2 linked regions of the Caenorhabditis elegans genome follow. The protein of the gene in region 2 interacts with the protein of the main gene of each other region in a pairwise test. Each region holds a gene or a part of one and is shown on either strand. Other genes may lie near its edges.

Region 1 (7,833 bases), 3.5 Mb from region 2:
TGCGCCCGCCCCCAATTTGCATTTTACTGTTGGTGTCCCTTGATGTGTCCCCCTATCGCCCAAAATCCCGTCGTTGTTACGTTACTATTCAGGCGGAACACACACAGTCACCAGAACCATCATATTTTATTTGTTTCTTTTTTCTTTTCCTTTTCTATTTGAAACCATCAACTTGGGATTTCCCATCTCACGTCTCAATGTTGCAGAATCTTTAGTAAAAGTCGAAACACAAATATATGATTTATTGGCAGGTTATTATCAGTTTGTGCCAATTTATTATCGAAGAACAGTTTGATTAAATCAAGTAAAGTCAGAAAGTCTATTCAACTTTTATTAAGAATTTTAAATATTTTCTATAATCTCCAAGAGTTCGACTCATATTAATGTGTATTCTTTACATTATAACTTTTAAAATTCAATTTTTTTCGCTTAAAAGTTCAAAAATCTGAAAAGAACAATCGGACAATCGTTGTGGTCGTCATAGAGCTGAAATGATCTACGAATAGTTCAAAGTACTGTATAATCTAGTAGCCATATACATTTTCATAATCCTCTCCGTATTTCTTTTCACCAATCCGCTCCGTCATTTTGCATTTTTAACAAGTTTCGGTTATTCCATATTTTCATTTACATAACTTACACGTTTATGTTTCTATTTCATGTTAATTCCATAGTATTCTGGATGGTTCCAAAATAGTTTTGAATTGTATATTGTTTGAATTGGTCCAACTCCGAGAATTACCAAAAGTTTAGAACATTTGAAGAAAACATAACAATGTTTGGTTATTGATAACATAAATTTTGTTGAATCTTCAAGCTTCATTTATTCATATTTTTCCAAATTTCAAAAAAGGATTTCTAAATTTAAAATGTCCACTAAACAATCCTTAATCTCTTGGCAGCTCCTCTTCTTCACACGTGGTTTTTTTCAGTTATCAGAACAATAATCGGTGGTGTGCCAGCTTGCTGAATTGGCTTGGCAAACTTTTTTTGCGTCCTTCTCCGCCACCGTCACTCGTTATCATCAATCACAAATTTTTGGCTGCTGCCACGTTAGACTCTGATTTGTAAGGGGGACATGAACTATTATCAGAAGCTAATTCTTAAATTCTAAAATGAAAATATTAATTTAGAAAAACGAGAAATAGATAATAAATGGAAACCTACTCTCGTTTCTTTCTCCAATAAATCAAATAAAAATAAGAAAAGTGCGACTGGTTGAGTCGTTACCTAACTTTATCAATATTTGATTAGAACTTAACAATGTTTTTGAAATGATCCACTTGGACGTACAAGAGGTAGTACACATTAAACTGACCGTTCGATTTTTTTTCTTAACTTTAATTCACTTAGAGAAAGGTAAAAGGAATCCATATATAAATTACGGGATGTAAATAATATTTTATTATTAAAGAAAGGTTTTAAAACAAACTATGTAGAATCTAGTCAAATAAGTAATTTTCTATTTCTGGAGATAATTTTATTTAAAATTGAATTTTCTTAATTACAGAGAAATTACGTTCAAAATCTCATTAAAAGATGTGATAACCCGACACCTCAATACATTGACCGTTTAATTTCTTTCCGTTTTCATATATATTTTCATCTAAACACATTCATATATTTATATATACAAATGAAACCTAAACCCGTTTAATAATCCGCCTGACCGTCTATCCATCCTGTCCGTCCGTCTATCCTCCTGTCCACCTTCCGACCACAATTACCGTCCCTTTTTCTTTCATTTTCACCGTTTATTTTTCTGAAATCCGTTGCTTTAATATGTATACATTTATATATACTTTTTTCCAGCAACAACAAATAGAAGAACACGAATTTTAATTTCAATTAATTCAAAATTTTTCCCATATCGACGCTGCCGTTTGCAGCACCATCTGTTAAAATGGAACAACTTGATGTCGAAGATTGGGAGTATTGGGGTGATGAATATCTTGAAGAAGAACCAACTTATGCAATAAGACCTGGTACAAGAGTTGTGAAAGTTGAAAGGTTAGTAAATCGATTATTATAACTTTTCTGTGCATTTGAACTTGCATCATAACCCTAACTTTTTTGAGAATTAATATCAAATTATTAAGATTTATTTGCTCAATTGATCAGTTGGAGATCATTTCATAGTTTTTTCTTTAATTTTTTGAACTTGTGAGATAAATAATTTTCAAAAAATTTTGTTTACCGAAGCCGCCAAAAAATTTTATCTCAAATATATAGCTCTAGTGGCTCTTTGATAAAAACATTGAAAATTGAAAAGAAAAGATTTACTTGAAACCCCATTTAATGCTAAATCTAAATTTATTCAAAGTCAATGTGATACAAAATCCCTTCAGGCCTTAAACTTTTACATCTATTCTGATATCAAAGCATTTGATAGTTTCAAAGAAATTACGACATTTTGGCAATCAATCGCTGATCTTCTGACGTTTTCAGATCAATTGACAATGATTTAAATGAACTTTTGAGCAATTATCTCAACTCATTAGAGCCATTAGATAGTTTTCAAGAAGCTGCAAGTACGTGTTCTATTTGCATTTTAATTCTAATTCCCTTTTGTATAGGACAGAGTCTCCCCTTTGTTATCTTATTCTTGCCCCGCCACGACGCAACAACCATTTTTGTGATAATAATTTGCAATTTTATCAATGGCACTACTACCTCTGATCACCACCATCTCACACATACTTTGTAAAAGCGCGTCGATCGTAAATACTACTGTCTTGCCACTTTAGTAGTAACCCTGCCACGTGGAAACTTTGAAATTTGGCGTGGAAATGAGTGAAGAGGCACGTGACAAGATGCGCGCGAAGAATGATCAAATTGCGATAAAAAGGGATAGGTGAATGATCTTTGTGATTTGAATGCTACTTGAGGAATGGTTTACATGGAAATTGAGAAAAAGTAAAATAAAAGGGTTCAAGGACGGTAATCGATCAATTTGAATGAATGAAGAAAGATATGATTGTGATTGATAAAAGGAATTTGCTACAAGAAACCGAGACGAACTGCATCGGTTCATATGAGTCAGATGTGTTCTTCGGTTGAAGAAGATCACTTAATTTAGTGAGAAGTTTCTTTTGAGATTCAATTTTGATTATATTCTTAGAAGTTTTCAGAAAGACAGTTTAGTATTCACTCCACAAGGTTAATAGCTAAAAGTATTCTCTACTCGATTCGAAAAATAATTTTTGCGGGTTTTTACTTTTAGTATAAAATATTTGAATTTGAAAAAATCTCTAGTTAGTAGTTTGTTCGTGTGCAAAGCTTAAACAGGATAATTAAAGTATTTTAAAATATAATCCAGCTTTGATTCTAGATCACAATTCAGCATCTACTTATAGATAAACTAGTATATGTTAACTTCCCCTATCCTATCCAATAACCTTTTCCTTATTCAGCTGTAAACAACAATTGATACAAGTTATCTTATCTCCAAATGCCTCCTCCAATTTTATGAGACCCGTAAAAAAATTCGATAGACAAAAAGCATTACGATTTTATTTATTTTGGTGACATTTTGGATCCTTGTAGTCAGAGGCTCTATCATTTGATCTTCTAATATATCTTTACAAAAAGGCAATACATCCAATTAGCCCAATTAGTCTGCACGTCTTGATATAAATATGACATCATACATTTACTGATTCGAATCGTTGATTTTTAATTTAGAATTAAGGATAAACAGAAAGAAGATTTAAGTGTTTGATTGGAGAATATAGGCATCCTATGCTAAAAGCTATCTCTAATTTATTACTGACATCATCCGTTTCTCGTCTGTGTTTCATGTATCTTTATCACCTTTCCCTCCTCTAGTAGAATGACCTAGAAAGTGATTGGCAAGTCTGGCAAGCCTACAGGGGGACAAGGGTTATAAGATTGATAGGTAATAAATTCTTGTAAAATGAAGAAAAAAAATTCTGTGCGGATAAACGAAGCGGAAATCATCATTGTGTGCGTGCTTTGAGGAAAGGTTCGCGCCTGTTTACTTGCCTTGTTCGGAGGTCGAGATTTCGGACACGAACCACCTCATATTTTTCTCTCGTTTCTTTTCTTCGATTCTCTTTTTTCCATTACTATCTCTCTTCCTTTGGTTCTTATTTTCTCGACAGTCTCTTTTGGTCAGTATAGTTCCTAACTAGGAACTGTTCGAAATCTGGCATGATAATTCTTCAAAAACGCTTATGAAACTTCAAAAACTCGGACTATTTTACTGTGAAAGTATATACCTCCGTTCGTTTCAACAAAAAAAAAGTTAAGCTTTGAAACTATAGAAAAATTAATAATACATCTGCTGCCAGTTGATTTTAAATTGATTCAATCGAAAATAGCCAAGATATCAGGTGCCAAAGTTGAGCAAGATTAATTGAGAAAATAATGTTTTTGGGAGTGCATTTTTTCAAATATACAAGTAGTTTATCAACAAAAAATTATTTTGTACTGGTGTAATTGATTTAAAAAACAAGTAATTGATGTGAAAAACAAGCTTAAATACTGTTCTAAAATAAAGTTACAGGTGTTAAAATGTTTTAAACAAATTATTTACTATTTGTTCAAAACCTTAGTGACATCTAATCTTTATGTTTTCATTTTCTCTTCATCCTCTCAAGCGTCTTCTGTTTTGTATTCTTCTTCTTCTTTATTTCAAATCAGTGTCTCTTTCGCCTTGTTATCAGTAAATCGTCGTCGTCTTCTCCTCCTTCATCTCCTTTTATTTCAATGTCACTCCCACTTAATTTCCCCCATTTTGTAATATTATCATAGAGAGACACCGCCCCATAGGTATTCCCCCAAATACGTCAGTTTTTCCACGTGGAACTTTTTGGTCTTTTTGATGTGTGAACTTTGATAGTTTGCAACAAATTGAAATTATGAATTTTTTTTATCATCAATGGAATTGGTCACTGTTCCAATGATTTTTTAATTGGATTCTTAAATGCCTTTTGGCTAGAAAACTTTGCACATTTAGCTCCGATTAAGCAATGAATTTTTACAATAACAAAAAAGTGCCTATCGACTTTCAATTCCGCTTCCACACACAAAATTTTGCAATTTTGAAACTGAAAAAACCGTATCAAATATAATACTCTTTTGAAAGTTTAATCACTTGAAAAATGTAATTCCGTCTTCACCAAAAAACGTTGTATTTTCCAAGACACAAATTATTGTGGGAAGATCAAGAAATCAAAATTTCAAGGACACACTCTAGTTTTTAAATTTTATTATTTTTGTGTTTGAAACTAATTTTCCCGATCTTTTAACTTTAAAATTTCCAGAGTTCCAATGATGCGAGGAGATTTAAGGACAAGCGGTGCCACGTCATCAAGTGGTCCCGCCACGTCATATATCATCAGGCCCAGTGACAAGCAACCCACAGTTTCTAGTGGTGGATCACAGAATGGAGATTCAGTTTGTGCTGTTTGTGGTGACGGAATTGCAAAATTACATTATGGAGTACTTGCATGTTATGGATGTAAAGGATTCTTTAGAAGAACACTGACTGGAAAATATCGATATGCATGCAGATTCTCAAATAATTGTATTGTTGATAAATGTAAGTTTTTTAAAGAATAAATTCGAATATACTTGACTGAGTATCTTTATAATCAAGAAAATACCTGAAGTTTCGGTTTTCAGTCCAGCGAAATAGTTGCCGATACTGCAGATTTCAACGTTGTATTCAAGCAGGAATGGATCCAAAAGCAGTCAGGCCGGATAGGGATCAGACAGGAAAACAGAAAGTTCCAAGAATTAAGAAGAAGCAAATTGATGAGGAGCTTTTAAATCATATGGTATGTTTTGAAAATGTAGATACACTGAAAAAAAACTGGTGGCAAATTTAAAATTTCCAAAAATTTGACAATTCACAAAAACTTGACATAAAATTATGGAAAATCTCAAAATGATTTGAGTGTTTTTTGTGATGTTTTCTATTTGTTCTGGAATAATCGAGTGAAAAATGTTTATGCATATTCAAACAGTTAAAATTTAGTTTGTGTTGTTGATAAAATCCAGAATAACTTACACTATACATGAATGATGTATAAATTAATACTTGAAATTTTCAGATGCGGTTACAAGGAGATGATTGGTCACGAAAACTTCCTGTCGAGACTCGAATTTTATTAATGCAATTGATGAGTATTGAGGATAAAGTAGTAAAAGGAGATAATAATATGAGTGCACAAAACACTGCAAAAGATCCAAAAAGTATTTCATTACGGGAAATGTTTGAATCAAAACCTGCATTAGATGGTCGACGGATGGAAATTGGTTATGAACCATTTCGAATGGCAAGAACTGAAGAACTTGGAGTAATTGCTCATAGAAGAGCAATTGCAGCTGTTGATTGGGTTGATTCATTAACTGAAATTGCGGATGCAGTTGATACTGAAGATAAAGTTGCATTGGTTAAAAGTTGTTACTCGCCGTTAACTATTTTCAATTTCTCTGCGAGAACTGCTCAGAATACGAAGAATCCGGATATTTTGTGTCTTTGCAGTCATTCATTTGTTCCAAGAAGATTGCCTCCAGAGTTTAATGAGACAAAGTAAGTTGGAATTTTAATTTAATTCCAATTTTTATCAACGCAATAAAAATATATGAAAAATACTATTTAAAATTAAAGAAAATTAATTTGATTTATTCAGTCATCTCTCAAACTTCCTGATTGATCGAACGTTAAATGAATTGGTGGCTCCATTGAGAAAATTAAATCTGAAAGAAGAAGAAATTGTTCCATTAAAAGCAATTATTATTTTAAATCCAAATGCAAAAGGACTATCCGAGCATGCGAGGCACGCGATTTCTGAGTTGAGAGATAAAGTTCAAGATATGCTTTTCCAAATTGTCAAGGAGCTTCATCCAATCTATTCTGCAAGCAGCCGATTTGGAAACTTGTTGCTTCTTCTGCCAACAATTACTGTTAGTCGTCATTACTGTTGCATTCTCTATTTCAAAACATTTCAGACTCTTTCCGGATTGATGTCTGAAAACATGCATTTCTGTCAAGCTCTTGGAGGACGTGCAAGTGGAGATAACTTGTTAGCTGAAATGTTTGGAGATAGAACATTTGATGATCAACTTATCAGCAGCAGCATTAGCCCACCACTATTCGAGAATCCAGCTGAAATTTGTTTAGAGGTCAGTTCACTAAAAATGACTGAAAGATCAAACTTTATATCATTATCTTTTTCTTTTAATTGTCATTAAAACTATAAACTCATTAAAACTATAAAATTTCGGAGTTTCTCGGAGAATTGAAAGTTGAAATTTGCCAACTACCAACTGATAAATGGCAATGATAAGAGTGTGCAAAAATCTAATTTCTTGTTTGTTTGCAGAGTATCTCACCGCCAATGTCTGATCGAAGATTCGTGAGAAGGGTAGATGTGGCAACACAGACAAATGATGATTTGTTATCATCTGGACCATATCTTCCACATTCAAATTCATGTAGCTCCATGCTTAATGCTGGATACTCTCCTCCAATGGTGAGAGAAGTTTGAAAATATTTATGGAATTTGAGGGAAAATATGTTGAAACTTTCTTGGATAGTAAAGATTCTAAATTGAGGGAACTAGCTTCAATGCGTTTTACACAAACATATTCTTAAGAATATACAAGAAGTTTGAAAAACGTTCAAAAAAGCTCAGATAGAGGCTGTGACTATTATCGATTTTTCTTTTATACAAATCGGTACCTATTTTTGCTAACTCGCTCCAAGTCTCTTAACATTTTTTTCTTGGGAATTTCTATTTCTATTATTAACACCGTTTCAAGTTAAGACTAAAGTGGTCGAGCCCAAGAAACTCCTTCCAT
Region 2 (4,641 bases):
TCGAATTTCTATATGGTATTGCAAAATGCAAATAAATATATAGACTGTACTGTATTGCCTATCTCGCATTTTTCATGTTCTTTTCGTTTCCCATAAGAGTACATTAGCCGTGTAAGGAGGATTAGTGTAGGGATATTACGACGGCCACTACGAGAAGGTGCCAATTGGAACCTTGTTCTTCCCAAGTGGACGAGACAATGAGACCGATGAACGTCATCATTACATAACATTCTTATTCCTTCTTCATTGGAATACACTTTCTTTAATTTTAAATATTTATGTACTCATGAGACTATATAATCCATTCTGAGCTTATTAATTCTAAAATTTTTATATAAAAAATATTCCCAGTGCGCTATTCATTTCTTTATGTTGTCAGAAAAAAGTTATTCTTGTCTCTTGTGTCCGGCAGTGTCCGGCAGCGCCCTTGTTTGTCGGAAAGAGAAAACTAAAATAAAAGTTTTCCTCTCTTTTTCAAGAAGCCCAAGGCGTTTTTCACTTTCAATCGTTCCTTTCCTGCTTCGTCTTCCAAAAAAAAGCATGAATTTTTTGGAATAGCCGAAAGGCTTTAGAGACCGAGTCAAGATTGATGGCATCCTTTTGCCAGTCAGCTCCAAAACCAATATCCGTTATTTGGGATGTTTTTCTTCATTTCTCATTCATCAGGTATATGTTAGGTGCCGATTGAATGTTGTCGTGGAAGAGGAATATGATGTTGATGGACAATAAAGATAACATTGTCCTGGTCTTCCCCTCTCCTGTTGCCTCATAGTAATACTTTTACATAATCTCGGATGAATAAACATTTGTCCGTTCCATTTATGTTTTCTTCTTCTTCTTCTCGAAAATAGATTCGTTTCTATTGAAAGGGTCAATATTTAATCCATAGTTAATCTTCTATTGAGGAATTACTTTTCTTGAAGAAAAGAAGAGCAACGAATGTCGGTTTACTTCTAACTTGATATTTTTAAGCTTGTTATAAATATCAATTCATATTTATACTTTTTTGTTAAAAAATTATTTCAGGTAACTATGCATCTACGGGAGCCCCTCAAATATGTATGTAAAATATTAATTGTTTGCGCCCTAGTGGCTTTGTTTTCAAAAAAAAAAGACGATGACTTTAGCAAAAACGAAATCAAATACATATGCTTAATTCAGTCCATCTGCTTCACTTTATGTTGATGTCTATTCTCTTTTTGCAATTCCTATTATTTTTCTGTCGTTCCTCTTGTCCTGAAACCGTATTGTTACATGCCGTCCTCGGTGTTTCTTTCCACTGTTTTTCTGAAAGCTACGTCCACCAAACCCTTGTTCACTTTTTTTTTCTATTTTTCGCCAGCCACACGTTGATTTATGTGAAGTAGCAGTAAGGGGGCAAACGCGGGCTTTACCATCTGCCAAGCTAGTTACTTTTTTCGTCCCGCTCCTTGCGCTTTTTGCTTGCCCATCTCTTTTTTTGTGCTTTCTCAAACTAACTCTAGCCACTCAACTCTTATAAATCAATCAAACAAATTCTATAAATTGTCCTCCTTTTCTCCTTGCCTATCCTTTGTTTTTTTCAAACAATCCGTGTTTCTTCCATACTTTCCCCTTCAACCCGATATCATTCATTCAATTTATAATTTTCTTTTCCAGAATTTCACCCAAACCACTTGCTTCACCCGTGCCGACCCCAAACATGACGACGTCTTCGTCTGAAGGTGGGGCCGGTGGCCAGCACGAGGAAACTTCGATGACGTTAACTTCATCAACATCAGCAGACAGAAGATGCTCACAGGACGTGAGAAAACATTCACAGCACAAACAAGAAAAGGCGATTGTACACGATTTGGAGTGTGCTGCTAAAGGTGAGATTTTTTGAAATGTTGGAATCGTAATCTTTTCTTTTGGTAACTTCGAGAATTTTGCAACAAAAAAAATTAAAAAACCTTCCGTATTACCCAGACACAAAACTTTGTGATTTTCGAGCCAAAATACGGTAACGGGTCTCAACACGACAATTTTTTTTTGAAAAATACGAAGAGGAAATTTAATTAATTCTCTAAGTTTTTCTAACAATTTGTTAAAAATTTATGGATTTTATTTGAGTTTGAGAATACAGTAGTTTTTAAAGCACACTTTTTCGAAAATTCAACCAAAATTTATCGTGTCGAGACCGGGAGCCATATTTTTGGCGCAAAATTTCGCGTTTGAGTATCAAAACTGAAAAACTAAAAAATAGTTCGATATATTAAGCTTCAAAGTTTATTAAAAGTATTTGTCATCTTGATCTTCCCTCCAAGTTTACATTGAATTCATTTCGTTGTTTTTTCTTTCCGCTCACACCCTCTCCAACTAGTTTATGTTGATCCCATCACGAATTGGGGGTAAGTAGAGATATAAACATATATTACGTGCCACATTGTGAGGAAAAAACTTGTTCAATGTTCCTAGTGTTGTTCATCATAATCAAACATTTTAATTGCGATTTTAAGTATAGAACACTATCATTTTCATCCATTTTTCGCGCCTTTTCACCCTATTATCTAAACAATCATCAGCGGAAAGAAGTCGGTACACAGTCAGAGAGAGAAAGAACACACGGGCGGTGCGGGAAAAAAGAAAAGAAACATTTTCATTTCGCACCCCATCGCCATCGTCGGGCGACATCAACGCATTGACAATTTATTGCGATTGTGTGTTGGAAACTGCGGGAAGTCACTTGTCACTTGAACCAAAGTAATGAATAGTTATACTAGAGGGGAACTTGCGGAATAATAGAAATGTGATAGGGCATCAGTACGGGGGGAGTAGTGAATAATTCGAAGCCACTGCCGCCGCCAACCTTGTTCTCCCCTTATACCTGTGTCGTAAGTGTGTAAAGTTGTTTTGGAATCATTCTTCTTCTCTATGGAACTTAGAAAAGAAAGACGAAGACGCAGAAGATGAAAGGGCATGCGATGGAAACGGATCATCATCGCCCCACCCGGGAGCCATGAGAAGGCAGTTGTCTCTCTGTCTTCTCTCGAGAGAATCTCTTAGAGAACGAAAGTCATTTAGTCTTCTGTCTCTTCCCATCTTATTTTCCCACACTGGTGTTCGTTTTGATCTAAACGTCATGCGAACATGAGTATTCGACTACCACTATGTGCATCGATTGGTGTCGACGATCAGTATGATTTCCAAGGTTAGTTAGAATTGTAGAAGGCCCTACTTGAATAAAGTATGAATTTTCCAAGATAACAAATATTTTGTTTATATGTTTTGAATTTAACGAAACATGAAATTCACCACTGTAGTTTCTTATGCAAATAATTTCAAAACGACAAAAAAAAATCACTCAGAAAACCATGTGATGTGAAAACGCTTTCAGAATCATGAATTCGATGTTCTATTTTTCTCCAAATCTTATCTCCTTTTCGATCAAATTCGTGTGATAGTGGGATAGGCCCAATTCCTGTGACAATAATGACTCACAATGTTATAAACAGTGGAAGGAATCTCTTGTCAACATTCAATTCCTACTACTTTTTCATTCTTTCCGATACTATTTCATGATCCTTTTTTCCTACTTTCCGCACCTTGACTTCCGTCCTTCTCGTCCTCGACGTTTAATTGTTTCTTCTACCAACCCAAGAATGCTAATACTTTCTTCACTCCCTAGTTTTTGTCTTCATATCGTATCTTTGTTCGATTCGAATCGACCTGGCGTCCCAGACAATAGTAATGCCTCCTTCCGTGCACTTCAGAGCTCTTTCTGCAGCCACGGCCACCCATTTCATAAATCATCCTCAAAATTGATCCGTCAATTTCGTTGTCCCGTCTTCGTTGTCCCGTCCACTCTGGGTTTGCTCATGGACTCATCTTCAGAGGGATCTGTCCATCTATCTATCGGCTCCTTTTCTCTCGTTTTGTTCTCTAAGTATGTGTGTATGTCACACCTGCAATTCGGATTCCATGTGGTCGACACCACATGTTGCTTCTTTATATCATTCTTTCTTAGTTTTTTCTTCCAATTTTCGTTATTTTGAGCAGTTTCACCATAAAACCTTTACCACAAAAATATCGTAGATATAGCCATCAATTCAATGTACCAATTTCTACGGTCTATTAGTCGAGTAGACTAGAATACACGATATGCTTTGTACTGCTTTCTGACTCTCTCACCCACTATCAATGATTGATTTCTTAACATTCAGATTGGGCCGGATTACGTCCTCAATTTCTACAATGTGTAGACTTATAGAATTCAGAGAATAAAATAGTTGTCAATATCAAAGTTTAGTTTCACTAATTTTTTCTTCATCCATCTGTAGAATTACTTGACGTAGATTTTATTCTGCTATATTTTCCGCCAAAATCTCAAAACTCCCACATTGAATTCTTGATTTAAATTCCTACTTCAACTTGGCACATTTCAATGGCTGTGTAATTCAATTCGATGACTATGACTACATAATTAGGTAGGTAGTATCCTCGCCTTTCTCTCATAGATTTCCCACGACTACTGTTGTCTTCGCGCAGGAGGACTACCAAATAGAATGGGAATATGATATTGAATTGCTCTCATCTCAGAGTAGCTTCATACACACAAATGCACACGCACTGGTTGTGTCATTTAGGCTGATGAGCAATATGGTGGCGGCATCACCACTCTCT

Evidence for each region. Proteins that work in one complex are often made in the same cells at the same time.
Region 1: the proteins of srgp-1 (region 2) and nhr-31 interact in a two-hybrid assay, tested with the Caenorhabditis elegans proteins (one large-scale study listed by BioGRID).

The regions. Positions count from the first base shown.
Region 1 is NC_003282.8:8,023,493-8,031,325, reverse strand, and holds the start of nhr-31 (Nuclear hormone receptor family member nhr-31), read left to right. Parts: upstream 1-1,812; 5' UTR 1,813-1,903; coding exon 1,904-2,010; intron 2,011-2,668; exon of another isoform or gene 2,669-2,815; intron 2,816-5,288; coding exon 5,289-5,566; intron 5,567-5,649; coding exon 5,650-5,804; intron 5,805-6,080; coding exon 6,081-6,562; intron 6,563-6,662; coding exon 6,663-6,936; intron 6,937-6,981; coding exon 6,982-7,155; intron 7,156-7,355; coding exon 7,356-7,505; intron 7,506-7,833. UniProt on the Caenorhabditis elegans protein: Orphan nuclear receptor.
Region 2 is NC_003282.8:11,568,862-11,573,502, forward strand, and holds the start of srgp-1 (Rho-GAP domain-containing protein), read left to right. Parts: upstream 1-1,638; 5' UTR 1,639-1,681; coding exon 1,682-1,850; intron 1,851-2,805; exon of another isoform or gene 2,806-3,108; coding exon of another isoform or gene 3,109-3,169; intron 3,170-3,666; exon of another isoform or gene 3,667-3,875; intron 3,876-4,641.